Linked DNA regions of Saccharomyces cerevisiae S288C. The protein of the gene in region 4 purifies or fractionates together with the protein of the main gene of each other region. This does not show direct contact. Each region holds a gene or a part of one and is shown on either strand. Other genes may lie near its edges. The genes, in order: MSL5, CAF20, RAT1 and NPL3.

Region 1 (4,781 bases), on a different chromosome or scaffold from region 4:
GCACATACTCAGAGAAATTGGTTTATGCAAAGCGATGGAACCACACTAGAGATAACATACTAAATGCTGCTTCTATATTGGACGCCACTGGTAAGCCCTTATCAACTTTGATGAGGCCCTCTGCAATAATTACTACTTTGGACAGGTTTGGCTCCTCTCAACCGTTTAAAAAACGTTCAAAAATCTTTAAAGATACATTAAAGAAAGGTTTGAGTTCGGATGGGTCCGTTATAATACCGGTAGATATGAGTGGCAAATTTCTGGACCTGTTCACACAAGTTCATGAGTTATTATTTGAAAGCACAAAGATCAATGCGCACACACAAGTACCTGTACTTATTCTGTCTTACGCGAGAGGAAGAACTCTAACATATGCCAAATCAATGCTCGAGTGGCTGTCCCCTTCACTACTTAAGACATGGGAAAACAGAAATAATACTTCTCCATTTGAAATTGGATCACGGATCAAAATCATCGCACCAAACGAATTGAGTAAATATCCTGGTTCAAAGATTTGCTTCGTATCTGAGGTAGGAGCTTTGATTAATGAAGTGATAATTAAAGTTGGTAATTCTGAGAAGACAACCTTGATTTTGACCAAGCCGAGCTTTGAATGTGCGTCGTCTTTAGACAAGATACTAGAAATTGTTGAACAAGATGAAAGAAATTGGAAAACATTTCCTGAAGATGGTAAATCATTCCTCTGCGATAATTACATTTCAATAGACACCATAAAAGAAGAACCCTTGAGTAAAGAGGAAACAGAGGCGTTTAAAGTACAGCTTAAAGAAAAGAAAAGGGACAGAAATAAGAAAATTCTACTGGTGAAAAGAGAGTCTAAGAAACTGGCTAACGGCAACGCAATCATAGATGATACCAACGGAGAGAGGGCAATGAGAAATCAAGACATTTTAGTGGAAAACGTCAATGGAGTACCACCGATTGATCATATTATGGGGGGTGACGAAGATGATGATGAAGAGGAAGAAAACGACAATTTGTTGAATTTACTCAAGGATAACTCTGAGAAATCAGCAGCGAAAAAAAATACGGAAGTTCCTGTAGACATTATAATTCAACCAAGTGCCGCTTCAAAACATAAAATGTTCCCATTTAACCCCGCTAAAATCAAGAAAGATGATTATGGTACTGTTGTAGATTTTACGATGTTTTTACCTGATGATTCTGACAATGTTAATCAAAATAGCAGGAAAAGACCTCTCAAAGACGGTGCTAAAACCACGAGCCCTGTAAACGAAGAAGATAACAAAAATGAAGAAGAAGATGGTTATAATATGAGTGATCCAATTAGCAAAAGGAGCAAACACCGTGCTTCTCGTTACTCGGGATTTTCTGGAACCGGAGAAGCAGAAAATTTTGATAACCTTGACTATTTAAAGATAGACAAAACGCTCTCCAAAAGAACAATCTCAACTGTAAATGTCCAATTGAAATGCTCCGTAGTAATCCTAAATTTACAGAGTTTAGTTGATCAAAGGTCTGCATCTATTATATGGCCATCGCTAAAATCTAGAAAAATAGTTCTTTCCGCCCCCAAACAGATTCAAAATGAAGAAATTACGGCAAAACTTATCAAGAAAAATATTGAAGTGGTCAACATGCCATTAAATAAGATAGTGGAATTCAGTACAACAATAAAGACCCTGGATATCTCCATTGACTCCAACCTCGATAACCTTTTGAAATGGCAACGTATCAGTGATAGTTATACAGTTGCCACTGTCGTTGGCAGGCTGGTTAAGGAGAGCCTACCGCAAGTGAACAATCATCAAAAAACAGCGTCAAGGAGTAAACTAGTCTTGAAACCATTACACGGTTCATCTAGGAGCCATAAAACAGGTGCGTTGTCAATCGGTGACGTTAGGTTAGCACAATTAAAGAAACTTCTCACAGAGAAAAACTACATTGCAGAATTTAAAGGGGAAGGTACACTTGTCATAAATGAAAAAGTAGCAGTCCGCAAAATCAATGATGCAGAAACTATTATCGATGGTACGCCTTCCGAACTTTTTGATACTGTCAAAAAATTGGTTACGGATATGTTAGCAAAAATCTAGCCTTCTTGTATACAGCACAAATAAAAGGTTCAATTTACGTTCGTGGACTGCCCACAAAACAGTATGTGACATAAATTGCTGTGTATCTCGCACCGCTATTATCTGTATATAACATTCTAACTCACTTTTAACGATATTAGCATTATTGATTTCTTTCTTTTTCTGCTGAATTTCACCAAGCGGAAATTTTCAAAGCAGAATTTTTTCCCTAATTTGCTACAAGTGCTATTCTATCCCACAATAAAAGGAAATTGTTGATGAGTTTTAGAAGGATTAACTCTAGATACTTTGAAAATAGAAAAGGAAGCAGTATGGAAGAAAAAAAAGCAAAGGTTCCTCCAAACGTCAACCTTTCGTTATGGAGAAAGAACACGGTAGAAAGCGATGTCCATCGATTCAATTCTCTTCCATCAAAAATTAGTGGGGCCCTAACTAGGGAACAAATATACTCCTATCAAGTCATGTTTAGGATTCAAGAAATTACCATCAAACTGCGTACGAACGATTTTGTGCCCCCCTCCAGGAAAAATAGGTCACCTTCTCCGCCACCAGTTTATGATGCCCAAGGTAAAAGAACGAATACCCGTGAGCAGAGGTATAGAAAGAAACTAGAGGATGAACGTATTAAACTTGTTGAGATAGCCCTAAAGACCATCCCTTACTTCGTTCCTCCGGATGATTACAAGAGACCTACCAAATTTCAGGACAAGTATTATATCCCGGTGGATCAGTATCCTGATGTCAATTTTGTTGGTTTATTATTAGGTCCTCGTGGACGTACGTTAAGAAAGCTGCAAGAAGATTCGAATTGTAAGATTGCAATTAGAGGAAGAGGTTCAGTCAAAGAAGGTAAGAATGCAAGTGACTTACCTCCAGGCGCCATGAACTTTGAGGACCCCTTGCACTGTTTAATTATCGCAGACTCGGAAGACAAGATCCAAAAAGGTATAAAAGTTTGTCAAAACATTGTTATCAAAGCGGTGACATCTCCGGAAGGCCAGAATGACTTGAAACGAGGACAACTGAGAGAATTGGCGGAACTTAATGGTACTTTAAGAGAAGATAACAGGCCCTGTCCAATCTGTGGTTTAAAAGATCATAAAAGGTACGATTGTCCAAACAGAAAAATCCCAAATATACAGGGCATTGTTTGCAAAATATGTGGACAAACTGGACATTTCAGTAGAGACTGTAACTCATCGTCTCAAAGAATGAGCCGTTTTGACAGAAACGCCACGGTAAATAATTCTGCGCCAATACAGAGCAATGACGTACACTATAATAGCAATACTCATCCAATTCAAGCACCAAAAAGATCTCGTTATGACAATAACTCGACGGAACCTCCTTTAAAATTTCCGGCTTCTTCACGTTATGCACCATCACCTTCACCTCCTGCGTCACATATTTCGAGGCAAGCTCAAAACGTGACGCCTACACCCCCTCCCGGCCTAACATCAAGTAGCTTTAGTTCCGGAGTTCCAGGAATCGCCCCTCCCCCATTACAAAGCCCTCCAGAGTCGGAACAACCGAAATTTTCGCTACCTCCACCTCCCGGTATGACTACGGTACAATCCTCAATTGCACCTCCTCCTGGCCTAAGCGGTCCTCCAGGGTTTTCTAATAACATGGGCAATGACATTAACAAACCTACACCTCCGGGACTGCAAGGGCCTCCCGGATTATAATACACTCCCATTATACAATATCTGCATTTTTTTTTATTTGTGTTGAAGGTATGTAGTCTCTATTTTGCATAGTTCCTTTTTTTGTTGGTTTTTTGCCTTCCTGGTTATTATTAACTTTTGATATTTAATTTACTTACTAGCTTATTCTACTACTGTTTAGTTTCTACGGCCTGAACTACAATGACAAAAATATTATTTCACGATACCCTTACCTTTATTCAAAGTGCCTGTTCCTGTTTCCATTTTTTGGCTAGTTCCAAGAACTTTGATGGTTTTGGCTTGTCATCATCGATATCATCAGGAAAAATGTAATCCACGAATTCTTCTTCCACACCGTTCTGTAACCTCACTTTTTTGATTACTTTAGGGAATCTTTTCTTGACGGTTTCTTGATCGAGTTCAGTACCGTAAGTTTCTTCATAGTCTTTTAGCGCTTCCAAAATAGACAGTCTCCCTTGTTTATCATCCTTCTCCTTGAAAAAAACTATCGCCTCTTCAAAAACTTTTCTTGCCTCCAATTTATTCTCATCGGTAATTTCAAACTCTATGTCTTCATCCACATTTTCGCTTTGCAGTTTTGCTAAATCTAATAGTTGTTGCTCCGTCGGGGTTGAAGTTTGATACATGGCGAATTCGATCCAGCTTTGGGGGGAATATTGGTTGAGCTCCAAATATCTTCTATAAAGCTTCCTTGCCTTTTCAAATTCTTGTGATTCTGTCTCAAATGTTATGTATTTTTGAAGTAATACAATTTTAGCCTCCTTTGTTAAGAAATCAGAATTTTCATCTAGTGCAATTGTATATATACCTCTTACTCTATCCCAATCTCCTAAATTTTCTTCTAGTTCTCCATATTGTGACCAAATTTGTAGATCAGAGGGCTGAAATTCAATAAATTTCTCATATATTTTTCTCACACGATCAAATTCCTTCAACTTCACTTCCAACTCGATATATCCTTTGAAAGTTTTAGCCTTAGGACATAAACCGATTGCTTTACCCAAAATTTTTCTCG
Region 2 (2,769 bases), on a different chromosome or scaffold from region 4:
TCCTGTATGATCATCTTAATCTTATTCGTTAGAGGATCATTAGATTCCGGTAACCTGATCTCTGATCCAATCAAATTTTTATCGATGCTTTGAAATAGTTCATTTGTTTGTTTGTCAATCGCACTACCTTCATCAAGGTATCCTCTCAGCTTTTTTAGTTTTTCATAATATGCTGTGTTAGTAGTTGAAGATTCGGGTAAAGTCCAATTTAAGGTTCCGTGTTTTAGTCGGAGCTGATTGTCAGTAAATGCTTCTTCATTTAAAATTTGCTCAATGTTATCGAGTTGTACCTGCACATTTTTATTATTAATGAGAAGATTATTCAGTGATGCCTGGTAATGACTCAGTTCTGCTTCACTCACCTTTGTAAGCCCTTGTGGTATTTGGAAAGTAGTCAAGGACTCCTTCAATAGTTTATTTAGGGAAGCAAGGGGATTGGTAACACGTTGTTCAACGTATTCATCTTGCCTTTCATTGTATGCTGTGCAATATTCCATCACTTCTATAGGGATTAGGTCTTTGAATAAAGTCTCATCCTTTTTAATAGAAGGCAACAATGTTGCTGAAGAAGATGGTTTAACCATGAGAGCTGGTTTGATCGATGGTAATTCCGAAGGAACTTCTTGTAAGTAGATGAATTCATTGTCTCTTTGGGCTTCTTTCAGAGAAGATTCGACAACAGTTTTAAACTTAGCTTGCGAAGATAGTGTTGATTCATTTATAAATTGCAATCCCATTTGCAGAGCTTTCACAACATTTCCGAACTGCTTCTTCTCATTAAAAGATAAGGCTATTCTGTAATAAGTCACCGCACTAAAGTAAGCCTTTTTAGCCTTTAAGTGGTTTATCCAATCACTTCTAATAAGTTTCCCCCTTTGGGCGTCATTAATAGCCTCGCAGTAGAAGTCCACGATCTGTTGTGACAACTTCGCGATTAAGGAGTCCTTGTGTTTATCTTGCACGGCTTTAAACCAGAAGCATTCTTGCGCTTGTGCTAGCATCAGGGAGGTTAAAGCGTTCAATGTGGCGTCATCTACCACTGGGATTGTCTCAAGATTTTTTTGGTGGTCTAAAACATGTTTAAAGCATCCGGCGGCATTCTGGAAGTACAGACATGACGTTTTGAGGGATTCGGCTGCATCATTGTTGCTATTTAGAGCCAACAGTGAATACATGCAACCAATATTATAAATAATGGTTAATTTTTCCCATTGTAATGAGTATTGACTAGTACCACGAGATTTTTGTGATAGCGTTTGAAACCATGTAAATTCTATTTGATTATTGGGAAACTTTTTCTCTAATTGCAACAATATTACATAGTATTCCTTCAGTGCAGAAAGACCGTCGATTGAGATATCGGGTGCAATCGCATTGTTTCTTGCATCAACAACTTTGAGTATGTCTGATTGGAAAAAGGATGCCGTTTGAAAGGAAGTAGTATCAATTAGTTTTGACAACTCCGTGGCAAAGTCCACTTCTAAAGTTCGCTTAAGTGGAATGGCAAGCAGTTCACTCATGTCACACTGCCTGGATCTCCATAGATAATAATACTCTCTCTGCAAGGGTATAGTAGTGTTTTAATAAGGCTTTATAGTCCCTTTTCTTATGCTATATTATAAAGCCGGGTAGTAGCGAGGCTTGAATATCTCTTTTCCTGGACGAAAAATAGTGAAAAATTGGAAAAAGTATTTGGCGTAAAGCATATTCTACCGATTGCGATAGACATTATTTGAGCTGTAACCTGAATATAGGATTAAGAACTTTTATTTAATTTCACGACATGATCAAGTATACTATCGATGAGCTTTTTCAACTGAAGCCAAGTTTAACTTTGGAAGTTAATTTCGATGCGGTGGAATTTAGAGCCATCATTGAAAAAGTTAAGCAATTGCAACACTTGAAAGAGGAAGAGTTTAACAGTCATCATGTTGGTCATTTCGGTCGTAGAAGATCTTCCCACCATCATGGTAGACCAAAGATTAAGCACAACAAGCCTAAGGTTACAACCGATTCAGATGGTTGGTGCACATTTGAAGCCAAGAAGAAGGGTAGTGGAGAAGATGATGAAGAAGAAACAGAAACCACACCAACTTCTACTGTGCCAGTTGCTACCATTGCCCAAGAAACTTTAAAAGTCAAGCCAAATAACAAAAATATTTCTTCCAACAGACCTGCTGATACCAGAGATATTGTTGCGGACAAGCCAATTCTTGGTTTCAACGCATTTGCTGCTTTGGAAAGTGAAGACGAAGACGACGAAGCATAAGTCATTCGCTCATGCTTTCTTCAGGCAGCTGTACGTGTACTATGTATAAATTTTGAATAACATTTTTTTTAATAAACAGTTTTTACTCTTTTAGGTTACTTTCCAGATTGAAAATATACAACGTGGTTACATAAAGAAATTAAAATGTAGAACGAATCATGACCAACTGTATCAGGTGTTTAAAAAGGCGAGGTGAAAGAGAAAGGCTTCCCCCTCTAATATCAACAGCTGGAGATACATCTTTCTAATAATTAATCTACCATGAGCCGTACGCACTGAAGCAACGCCCATCAAACATCCGAAGCCACATTATGAGTACAAAAGAGGCTGACGTTAATAGGAACTCATGGTGTAATTTTGCTTCACTTTTCTGAATTCAAATGGAAATAGAAGTAAAAATGGGCAGAAAAGTTACCTCATGCTTTAAATATACTCAACTTTTCTCTACCGACAGTAGGAGCCCTAAGAGATAAAGCGAAAAATTTTCACAGCGCGCTCCT
Region 3 (6,665 bases), on a different chromosome or scaffold from region 4:
TCCACAACATCCCACATTACCCGATTGTTTGTTGCAAGATTTTTTGAAGAGGACGCTTGCATATTGGCCAAGGAGGAAGTGTAAGATGTGCTTTCGTGACTTGAGCGAAGGGGTTGGCGTTGTATAGCATGAACTTCCCAATATGTTGCATTCATCCCTGGATGATAACAGACCAAAGACCAAATTTGATTTTAAGTTTAGGAACTTAGAAAAAAAAGGTAGTGCCGTATTCGAAACTTTCGCCGTGGACTGCCTCTCTTTTCAAAAAAGAAGAACAGACCATGCTTTTTCTCCTGGATCTGGAAGAAAAAATACACGAAGCGTATAAATCAAAATAGAGTTCGGTCTATTGGCTTACAAGGATTTCGCTATTTTACAAGAGGACGTATATTCATATATTCATGCTTCAGCATGATTTTCTCTTAACTTAATATGTTCCATTTTTTGTTATAAAATATTACTGTTCGTCGTTTGTAAGAGCAGACACTATTATCTTAAAAGAGCTTTTTTTTAATTGTATGAAGATTTTATAAATTTGCGAAAACCTAAATTTACCATAAAATAAAATGCGCACGAGTAGTTCTAACGCCTATTTGCTCTTGAATTGTCATACCGACTTTGCTTGTTATTCCGAGAGTAGCTGTTGCCGCTGTACTGTCCACTATTTCTATTTCCGGAATAGTTATTGTTCCTGTAATTTGAATTTTGTCTGTAATTATTGTTTCCACCATCATACCTGCTATTGTTGAAGCCGGGTTGACTGTTGTAGCTATTCCTACCATAGTTGTGGGCGGGTTGGACATTATTTCTACTGAGCTCAGCAAAATAAAAGAATGCTCGATAGCCACCAGTTCTTGGTTTGTACTGAGTAATACCCTTTGGTCCTACTGGAACAATATTTTGCTTCAAATCATTACCAAAGTTCCAGCGACGGGAGTAATTTTGGTTATTATACTTGTACATTATGGAATCAAGGTCATATGCTGTTAGTACCGGTTCTGACGGAATGAACCCGTTCAGTATAATAGACTTATTTCTCGATGGCAACGGAATTAATCTATAGGACATCTTTAAAATCAAGGTGGTAGATAAATTTGGCAGTGACCCACCTTGAATCGGACATACAATTTTCCCATTTAATTCGAAACCTTCAACGTCCTTTGATACAATACCACTTAAACCACTCTTGAAGTGTTGAAACTTCACAACAACATTGTTGTTGTTGTTTTCCTTTGAGTATAATTTCTTCGAAAACCTCTCATAATTAGCATTCTTGTTACTTATTAATAAAACAGGTTCTCCGCGAATATTTCTTGCCCTCTCAGCATCAGAAAGTAAAGGATATTGTGCACGAACAGCTGTTAACAGTCTATCCTGATCGATGAATGGTAGCAACGCTATGCCTTGCCAGGACATCTTCTTACCATTCATATCTATGGGAAATTCTTCAGGATAAAAATCAATGATTTCAGAGTCAGGTTCAGACATCAAAGACCGGAAAATTTTTGGCAAAGCATGGCCAGATGCAGCTGGTAAAACACTCATCAATTGTTCGTAAGGTAAAAATGGAGTACCTTCTTCGAACTTTATCTCCAAGTGAGAAAACCCATGGAAATCTGTTGCCAGAGGAGCATAATGGTACGGATAGAACCAATTCCAAGAGGCACAACCTTGATAGTAATACATTAGTACCCAGGCGACCCCTTCGATATAGCATTTTACCATATCTTTTCTTAACTGTTCAATATCTTGAGGAGTAACGTGAAATTTAGCTGTGTAATATCTTTCGTGGTAACCAGGTTCGAATAGTTTGACAAATTCATCTGTATCAAAGACCCCATTTTTGGGACCTTCGCTGACATTCACTGTGCTGTGGACTGGTGAATCTCTTGATACTTCTGTAGTTTCAGAGTTTTCCCTGTCGTTTACGTCAGCCACAATCTCATCTTTGATCTCTGCATCGAGATCGCACTCTGATTCCGCTTTCTCTGTCTTAACTTTTTTGCTATCCTTAGCAATTTCTTCCTCTTCATTATCCTTTTCAAGACGGTGTTTCTTATTTATTATTTTCTGTTTCATAACTTCTGCAAGGTTAAAATTAGTTTTGTTAGCCTTACTAACAGCATCATCAATTTCTTCCTTGCTGATATCTTTCATCAGTTCATTGTTCTTATCACTCTGTTGCTTAACTTTGGCGATTGCTTCTTCGTTCCCCTCGTTCGCAAGCATCAGTTCCTTTTTCAACCTTACCATATCACTGGTGGTCAAGTTCCATGAACCTTTTGCTAAATTTCCTTGTGTGTCATACATTTGCAGTTGCTCCGTAGCTACTGTAGGATGCCTGTCTTGACCTTTTGACATATTTTTCTGCGCTTTCCTTCTTTCAAAAGCTTCTTTCTTTCTGGCTTCTTGAATATGTCTAGTTTTGAAGATATCCCCCTCACGGGAGCCAAGGTGTTGCAATAGCGTTTCAACAGAAGGGAGGTTCAAGACACCGTCGCAGGTCATGTACGTTTTCAATTTCGGTAGTACTACCTTCCAAATATCCAAGAGAATATCAATACTATTTTCTCTGACATCTAAGCATGGTAAATGTGGTAAAAAGTCATTACCACAGAAAAAGCACATGAAAACCCAATCGTCGATAGCCCTTTCTAAATCAAATGTAAATGGAAGACCCGGAACCCATAACTCAGCGGACAAGTATTCCCTCAAAACATTTATGTGCAGCCACAAGAAAGGTTGTTCGGAATTTTGTTTTTGGAGAAATTGTTTTTCTTCTTCAGTCATATTTATAGTATCTTTTAAGTTATTTCTTTTCCGATTGTCTTGAGCAAAAACATCTTCTCTTAGAATTTTAAAATGTGGTTCATGAGTGGCAAGGCCCAAAAAAATTAAATCAGCATCCAAACCGTATATACAGTGCGTTGTGTTGGGATTATATTCAGGATCAGCTCTTTGAGACCTAATGAAATTCATTATTTTGTGCTCACCTTCACCTGGGACGGTGGCGTCACTGATAATCACCTGCAGGTTTTTCCAACCAGGGTCAGTGGCCAGTTTAAATGCTGTCCAATAACGGAGGGCCGCGGCAAGCTTATCCATAAATGGGGTGCCTGGAGTGATCGCATTTGAATCCCAAGTTTTCTTGTTCCTGACGGCATCATCGATTATCTCACCAACTTCTTCTCGCTGTCTCATAATTTCTTCCCTGGCTTCGTTTTCAATCTGAGCATCCCTAGCACTCCTAAATCTACGCGCTCTCTGCTGGTTCATTTTGGCACGAGGAGCAACACCATCAACAGCCATAACAAGTACCTTGCGTGGTCTAGCCATATTTAACACACGATTGGTATATTCAAAAACTGCCAAAAGCATTTCATCTTCAGTCTCTGGAGGCGGTTTGTTTTCTGGGTGCGAACATGGATGAACAATACCATTCATATCCAAATACAAGTTGTCTAACTCACCGTTTGGATTTGAGGCGGAATAATCCAACGGCAATATGACACCGTCGACTATCTGAGGTTGCTCTTCCAATACTGGGGATATGATCTTTGGATATTTTCGAGATAGCCATCTGAAAAATGACGGAACACCCATTATATTACGAAACTTGGCTGTAGCACTTCCTTGAAGAACCTGTCTCACTAATTATTACGGGATGTCTTTATGTTGTAATAGGTTCATCGATGAGGTTTGGTTTTTTATTGCCATAGCTGAAAATCTTATCTAGATACTCTCGTTACCCGACTTATCATTCCCGAGACGCTCAAATATACAACCTGATGAGAAAGTAAGGTAATATACCTCCAAATGTTCAAGATTATAAAATACATTGCAGTGCCTTAAAAACGTACTTCCGATATTATGTGATAGTAAACTTTTCGTAGTTTTTCATCAGAGATGGGGAAAGCTTTTTTGGTGAATTGATTTTACAACTACTTGTTTCAGTATACTATAAAAATCGAGTAAAATTCGTGAATCTTTGAATAGAAAAGATTTCGTGAACATATCTATAAATTAATCACTTTCTTAACCGATATAAGATTTTAGCCCGGTGATATAGGCTTCAATCAGCAGTTACGCTTTTTTGCTTTAATTTTACTGTTTATGGAGGTAAACTAACGCTCCTGCTCTCTTTCATATATCAACAGATAGGTCTGTTGATTGATTCAAATAAATTTATTTTCCTTATGTGCGCCATAATTATATGACCCTATAAGCTGCCGATAGCGGATTTTCTGTTCTCTATGGGAAACTCTGTAGTTTTCTTTTTTTTAGTTTAGTTCGTTCCCAAAAATGGAAGAACGTCAAAACAGTGATCTACATTAAGCTGAGGCGAAAACACTAAACGAGGAAAGTTATACGATGGCACAGGAACAAAATAGAAAGTATGTATGACGTTGAAGGCTGATTAAAGCATTGAAAGGGGAAAAATACTTGTGAACTAAAAAATGTACATATTACGATGTCGAAATATAAGGAAGTAAAAATGCTGTCCGGTTCTTTTGAATAGGAGAAAAAATAAACAGAACATAGTCGGGAACTTCGAGAAAAAAAGTAAGAATTGAAAAATGCATATGAACGATCAGATTGACATTCAAATTCTACGTATCACTAAAGTTTAGCCTTCTTTTTAGAGGAAAACAAGTTAGCTATTTTGGACATGAATTGTTTGAAGGTGCTAATCGGGTATTTCATGCTTGCTTGGAATTCCTCCTTTTCAATATCAAATTGTTTTGAATCCGAAGTATCTAAGATATCTTCAACATCGTCAGTATGTGGTAAAGTTTCAGGATCAACATGGCCCGGTGTGATTGGAATCGAGGTGCTTCTACCTTTAAACGCAAATCCAGGGTGGAAGATGGTCAAAGTGACCGTAGCGATGGCCATCATTAATGCATCTAAGATAATAAAATACCACTCGTGTGTGATCAGATAGCCATCCCAACCGACAACTAATTCAGCCAAACGGTAACAACAACGGGTAAAAATGGTTAGTACCGCAACGGTTATTGCCAGATTAAAATAATGAAAAACCCAACGTTTAGGTTCGAGTCTCAAAAAATGGAACTTTTCCCTGTATAAATAATCAACTTCTGTTTGCGATATCTTTAAGAGGCTCAATGAGATAGGTCTAGAATTTATGTGTTCCCATCTTACCGATATATATATACGGAAAAGGAAGTGAAACCATAACATAAGAAAGATGGCCATCGATGCAACTTGAATGGCCAAACCAGCAATGAAAACATGATTGCCGGTTGTTGTGGACGTTCCATCTGTGACCGCCACACCACACAGGCCACCGCCTACAGCTTGCACCACAAGCGATACGATATCGGAACATATGAAAATAAAAGAATACGCCATTGGAGAGGGCAATAAAGAGAACCTGTGGCCGTATACTTCTATAAGCTTTGCAAGTTGATAATAAATACCACCCATTGTGAAAACTGGTGCAATAGTCAAACAAATCATGTTCAAAAGAAAAGCGTCCATATCGGCGACATTAGAATGCGACCACGTCCTCCCTATAAATCCAAGAACTTCCAAAATACCTGTGCATATAAAAGCGATTGAAAACCAGTATTGGCGCATCAGTAACTGTACGACATGTATTGTCAGTAGTATACCCCAAATGACAATCATCGTGATATTAAAACGAAGGTTCGGTACCATACCACCATAAAGGGAATTACTGTTAGCTGCTGCTTCTAACTGTGGCAAAAGACTGCCTAACGTATTATTTGTTGCGTTGGACATTTTGAATTTCTCAACGTCTATAATCAGAAAAAAAGTACTGTGAGAAATCTATTTTAGAACAACCAGCAGTAATTAGTTACGCCCTTAGTATACTATTGCTTGAACTGCTAGGAAACCAGAGTTTACGTAGAAAAGTAATGAATTTTAAGTCTACTACTGAAAGAAAAAAAAAAAATACTTTACTGTGCAAGCGACAAGGAAAACTCTTCTTATTTCTATTGATTCTGGGGTCGACTGCAAATAATAAACCTTATATAGTGTTTTGCCCATCAGCTCAACTGTTTTAGGTGAAAATGGGAGGCACACCAAAGAAAAATAAACAGGGCAAATTAGAGCTCCGTGGGTACAACCGATCAGAATCACACCTATTCCCTTTTAGAGAGCGAGATAGCGAGAAAAAGTCAAGAGCTTTTCGACATTTGCGGAAAAATTACGGGGGATGCTTACGTACAGCTAGGGGGCGACAGAACCCTCAAGGCATGGCCGTGCAGCACTCGCACAGGACTTGGTGCAAGAAGTTCGGTTACTAATGAGAATGTCAACTATCGGAGCTGCCACAACTACTAGGCAACGTCGTTTTCCAGTGGTCCCTGACATATCAATTGCCGCACTGTCACTGTGCGCAAATATAATAGGAAACAGAGGACCGACGGAGACCATATCTTTCCGCGGAAAAAGAGTCCGAGCGAAGTCCGGAAGGAAATATGACGGAGCAAGAATGCTTCCGCGGATGTAAAAGATTGTGCTATGCTCTGGATTGCCCTCTCGGAGAGTTTTGTTGGTTTGTTTCACTGAAGCCATTGATAATAAACTCTTTATTGGGTGATGACGAGGCTGAGCACCAAAAAACCTAAAAGGAAACCAAAAGTTTAACTCATTAAATAAGTTGTGACTAT
Region 4 (4,511 bases):
AATCAGTTTCTAGTAAGATCTTAGACCAGAATTCAAAAATGTGGTCGGTCTTCGAATTTAAAGACCATCCGTCAAACCCGAAAATCAGGCGAGGCTCTGTGGTGTTAGGGTCAGATGTAACCTCTACATGTGTTGATATACCACCCGTATGTAATTTTATCTGATCTTCTATTTCACTGAAGGATTCTGTTGTTGTCCCTAGGTTAGTTAACGATTCAGCAAATAAAGGTAAGTATGGGAAGAGTTCAAAGGGTATTATGTCATTTAGTAAACGTTTACCTCTGACATATGTGATACCATTGGTATCAGTAATCCTAGACATTGTATTATTCTTCTGTTCGATTGAATATTTATCACCAGCTCTTGGGATGTCTTTTATTTGTAAGGTAGGTAAACAGGATAAATCTTCTTTTTCATTTTGTTTCTCCTGTAACAGTATACCACGTTTAAAGATGTTTTTCTTGTCTTGTTCATCCAAGGCAGTAATTTTTTCTCTCAGTCTTGTTTGTTCTTCATCATCCAAAGATTTAGAGAACTCTTCAGATCCCTGAATGGAAAACGTGAAACAAGGTTTATGAACGATATATTTACGGATTAAATCTTGGAATAAAGTATCACCTTTCGTTTCTAAGTCACCTCTAAATCTTTGCAAAACGTCCTCAAACAACAAGCTCTCAAAAGGATCGATTTTGTTTGTCCAACCAGGTAGTATAGAATAGAGTAATTGAAGTCCAAAGTCAGCCTTTTGATCCTTCTTAGATAATTCCAATTGTTCAATTATGGCATCGATACGCTTGCGGTCAAAAGGATGTTCTGTTTCCAACAGGTTTTGAAAAATATTATTTACAGTGTCTTTAAATATTTCAATATCACTCACGCCCTGTATACCAACAGTTAGCAAATTTACTGCTGTAGTTGGTTCAACACCTGAATTTACGGAGAACTCCAAACCAATTCCTGATTCTATTAATTTTTGATACATTACAGAAGAATGGCCATCCATTAATAAATTCCCCAGTACTTTTAACAAAAAGGTATCATATGTGTCCTGTGGCGCTCCACAAATCCACGTCATTGAGGCTTTTGTCTGCTTCTCCGGTGGAAGCATAGTATCTATTTGACCCAGTAACTTGACATCTATGTCTTTTTTTAAATCAATAGGCATTAACAACTTATCCTTTCGAGCTCTCTTCCCGTAACCACTGAACTGCTCATTTAATTGCTTTAACGTATCCACCAATGGCAAGTTACCGTACGTGAAAGTTTTTGCATTGGAGGGATGGTAATTTTTGTGATGGAAATCCAAGAGATCGCCGTATCTCAAGTCTGTAATTTTCATAGGATCTCCGCCGGAGTTATTCAGGGAAGGATAAATAGACTGTTGAAATTTACTCCAGAAATAGTAATTGGCATTTGATATTTGACCTTTCATTTCGTTATAGACAACACCTTTGAAAACAATGTTACTCTCCGGGTCTGTGATGTTTTTATGCTCCAACCTCCAACCCTCCTGATCAAAATCTTCTTGTTTAAGTAGCGGATTCAAGGTGGAGTCTAAATAAACACCTCTTAAATTAGCGAAATCTTGAGGGTTCGTAGTGGAAAAGGGAAAAAATGTATAATCTGGACCTGTCATAGCGTTCATGAAATTAGCTAGAGATTTATTTAGCATTTTGAAAAAAGGGTCCCTAACTGGATATTTAACAGACCCACACAACGTTGTATGCTCTAGAATATGAGGGACCCCAGTGGAATCTGGAGGGTTGGTTTTAAAAGCAATGCTGAACACATTATTCTTGTCGTCTCTATCAATATGCAAATGCTCGGCTCCTGTCTGGGAGTGCACCAAATCTACCGCAGTGAGTCTCAGCTCCGGAACCGGTAGAATTCTTCTCACTTCATAACCATGGAATATACCTCCAACTGGATATTTTCTAACGGCCTGTGCTTGGGCATACGAGGACGCAAATCGCTGAAACCGCAACATATATACCGCAGTATATTTTATAGTAACTTTATTCTTTTGAGTAGCCTTCTAATTGGTGGCTTATTGATTACAATTGCTTGTTATCATATCTGTCAATGCTTGTTCAACAATTCAATGATTTACTACTACCTTTATCATAGAGCCCCTCCGTATATTTATCACTGTAAACGAAGGGCAAAATTTTTTACATTCTTTTTTTTCGCCACCCAAAGGGATTTAAAAAGGACATGAGAAAAATAATTTCCTCTCTTCTAAATATATATACTTTTGAAGGAATCAAAATTAAGCAATTACGCTAAAACCATAAGGATAATGTCTGAAGCTCAAGAAACTCACGTAGAGCAACTACCAGAATCTGTTGTCGATGCCCCAGTCGAAGAACAGCACCAAGAACCACCACAGGCTCCAGATGCTCCACAAGAACCACAAGTTCCACAGGAATCTGCTCCACAGGAATCTGCTCCACAAGAACCACCAGCTCCACAAGAACAAAATGACGTTCCTCCACCATCTAATGCTCCAATTTATGAAGGCGAAGAATCCCACAGTGTCCAAGACTACCAAGAGGCCCACCAGCACCACCAACCACCTGAACCCCAACCATATTATCCTCCTCCTCCTCCAGGTGAACACATGCACGGTCGCCCACCAATGCACCACCGTCAAGAAGGAGAACTCTCGAACACCAGATTGTTTGTTAGACCTTTCCCATTGGACGTTCAAGAATCCGAGTTGAATGAAATCTTTGGTCCATTTGGACCAATGAAGGAAGTCAAGATCTTGAACGGCTTCGCGTTTGTTGAATTTGAAGAAGCAGAATCCGCTGCCAAAGCCATTGAAGAAGTTCACGGTAAGAGTTTTGCTAACCAACCTTTGGAAGTTGTTTACTCTAAATTGCCTGCCAAGAGATACCGTATCACCATGAAAAACTTACCAGAAGGTTGTTCATGGCAAGATCTTAAAGATTTAGCCAGGGAAAATAGTTTAGAAACTACTTTTTCTAGCGTCAATACCAGAGATTTTGATGGTACCGGTGCTCTAGAATTCCCTAGTGAAGAAATCTTGGTCGAAGCTTTGGAGAGATTAAACAATATTGAATTCAGAGGTTCTGTCATTACTGTTGAAAGAGATGACAATCCTCCACCAATCAGAAGATCAAATAGAGGTGGCTTCAGAGGTCGCGGCGGCTTCAGAGGCGGCTTCAGAGGTGGCTTCAGAGGCGGTTTCTCCAGAGGCGGCTTCGGTGGCCCCAGAGGTGGATTTGGTGGTCCAAGAGGTGGTTACGGTGGCTATTCCAGAGGTGGCTACGGTGGCTACTCCAGAGGCGGATATGGTGGCTCCAGAGGTGGTTACGATAGTCCTAGAGGTGGTTACGATAGTCCAAGAGGTGGTTATTCCAGAGGTGGCTATGGTGGTCCAAGAAATGATTACGGTCCTCCAAGAGGTAGCTACGGTGGTTCAAGAGGTGGTTATGATGGTCCAAGAGGCGATTATGGTCCTCCAAGAGATGCATACAGAACCAGAGATGCTCCACGTGAAAGATCACCAACCAGGTAAGCCATTTATATAGTTGAGAAAAAAAAAGGAGAAATTAACAAAAGATATGAATTGTTTTAAAACTTAAATATGAGACTGAGAACAAATGAAAAAGGAAAACATCGTATTAAATGTTGAAAAAGTTTTTTTTTTGAAGAACTTCCTCCCCATTCCCTCCCCTCCCTTTTATTAAGTATAGTTTTTGTTTATTAATAAGTTTAGTGTTAGAAGATCCCAAAGTATATGATTGAAAACAGAATTGTTTATTGCGAGTCCCGACTTCACTCCAGTAGATAGAATAATCCCATGATAACATTTAACATCCTTTTTACAACGGAATTTCATTTCCAAATTGATGAGTCGTTAAAACTTCTGTATTGGATTTTAATTAGACCTTCTTTCGTGTAATACTACTACTACTACCTCTAGATTCTTATGTGTCTTTCAATTTTTTTTATTTCCCTGCACCAAACTATCTTTTATTGAATGGAATGTGCTGCAAAATTAACAAAAATAAGTTTTACTTAAAGTTTCTAACGAGAATCTCCTCTTCAACATACGGGCAGGATAATATAATTGACTATACTGATAATGAACCCCGTTTTTTGTTATCTTGTGAGATAACTCAGTGGAAACTTGATCTAGCAGTAGACCAGTTTCCCCTCCCCCAATTAATACTAGAAAGTTGAGAAACTACAGAAATCTTGTAATTTAACCATTTTTTTGTCCCAAGCCGATCTATTTTGGATATCTTATTGTCATTTTTCAAGTGAAAAAAGGTCTCCCTTTCTATACGAGAGTTCTCATATGGAATGAGAGAATAAGCGGTAAGATATCGAACATTCACAAGAAATAAAGTACCAGTTAAGAGGTGCAATTGAATATATACAATATCCTATCATCTTAGTCCTTTGAGTATGCAAAAAGCTACAAATATAGTTGTTAGTTTGGGTCAGGCTAATTTCAAAGAATTTGAACTCCTATAAAG

The links.
Region 1: the proteins of NPL3 (region 4) and MSL5 purify together in Saccharomyces cerevisiae (affinity purification with mass spectrometry; 2 studies listed by BioGRID). This does not show direct contact.
Region 2: the proteins of NPL3 (region 4) and CAF20 purify together in Saccharomyces cerevisiae (affinity purification with mass spectrometry; 3 studies listed by BioGRID, with this or other methods). This does not show direct contact.
Region 3: the proteins of NPL3 (region 4) and RAT1 purify together in Saccharomyces cerevisiae (affinity purification with mass spectrometry; 4 studies listed by BioGRID, with this or other methods). This does not show direct contact.

What each region holds. Positions count from the first base shown.
Region 1 is NC_001144.5:378,487-383,267, forward strand, and holds MSL5 (mRNA splicing protein MSL5), read left to right. Parts: upstream 1-2,335; coding exon 2,336-3,766; downstream 3,767-4,781. Other genes in the region: cleavage polyadenylation factor subunit CFT2, read left to right, coding at 1-2,078; CLF1 (Clf1p), read right to left, coding at 3,985-4,781.
Region 2 is NC_001147.6:839,550-842,318, forward strand, and holds CAF20 (Caf20p), read left to right. Parts: upstream 1-1,783; coding exon 1,784-2,269; downstream 2,270-2,769. Other genes in the region: RIM20 (Rim20p), read right to left, coding at 1-1,520. UniProt on the Saccharomyces cerevisiae protein: Acts as an inhibitor of cap-dependent translation. Competes with eIF4G1/TIF4631 and EAP1 for binding to eIF4E/TIF45 and interferes with the formation of the eIF4F complex, inhibiting translation and stabilizing mRNA.
Region 3 is NC_001147.6:418,048-424,712, forward strand, and holds RAT1 (ssRNA exonuclease RAT1), read right to left. Parts: upstream 3,604-6,665; coding exon 583-3,603; downstream 1-582. Other genes in the region: phospholipid-translocating ATPase RSB1, read right to left, coding at 4,621-5,685. UniProt on the Saccharomyces cerevisiae protein: Possesses 5'->3' exoribonuclease activity. Required for the processing of nuclear mRNA, rRNA and small nucleolar RNA (snoRNA) precursors.
Region 4 is NC_001136.10:1,326,484-1,330,994, forward strand, and holds NPL3 (mRNA-binding protein NPL3), read left to right. Parts: upstream 1-2,299; coding exon 2,300-3,544; downstream 3,545-4,511. Other genes in the region: CYM1 (pitrilysin family metalloprotease), read right to left, coding at 1-1,987. UniProt on the Saccharomyces cerevisiae protein: Involved in mRNA processing and export. Required for efficient splicing of a large set of pre-mRNAs by efficient co-transcriptional recruitment of the splicing machinery. Remains associated with the mRNP during early steps of translation elongation.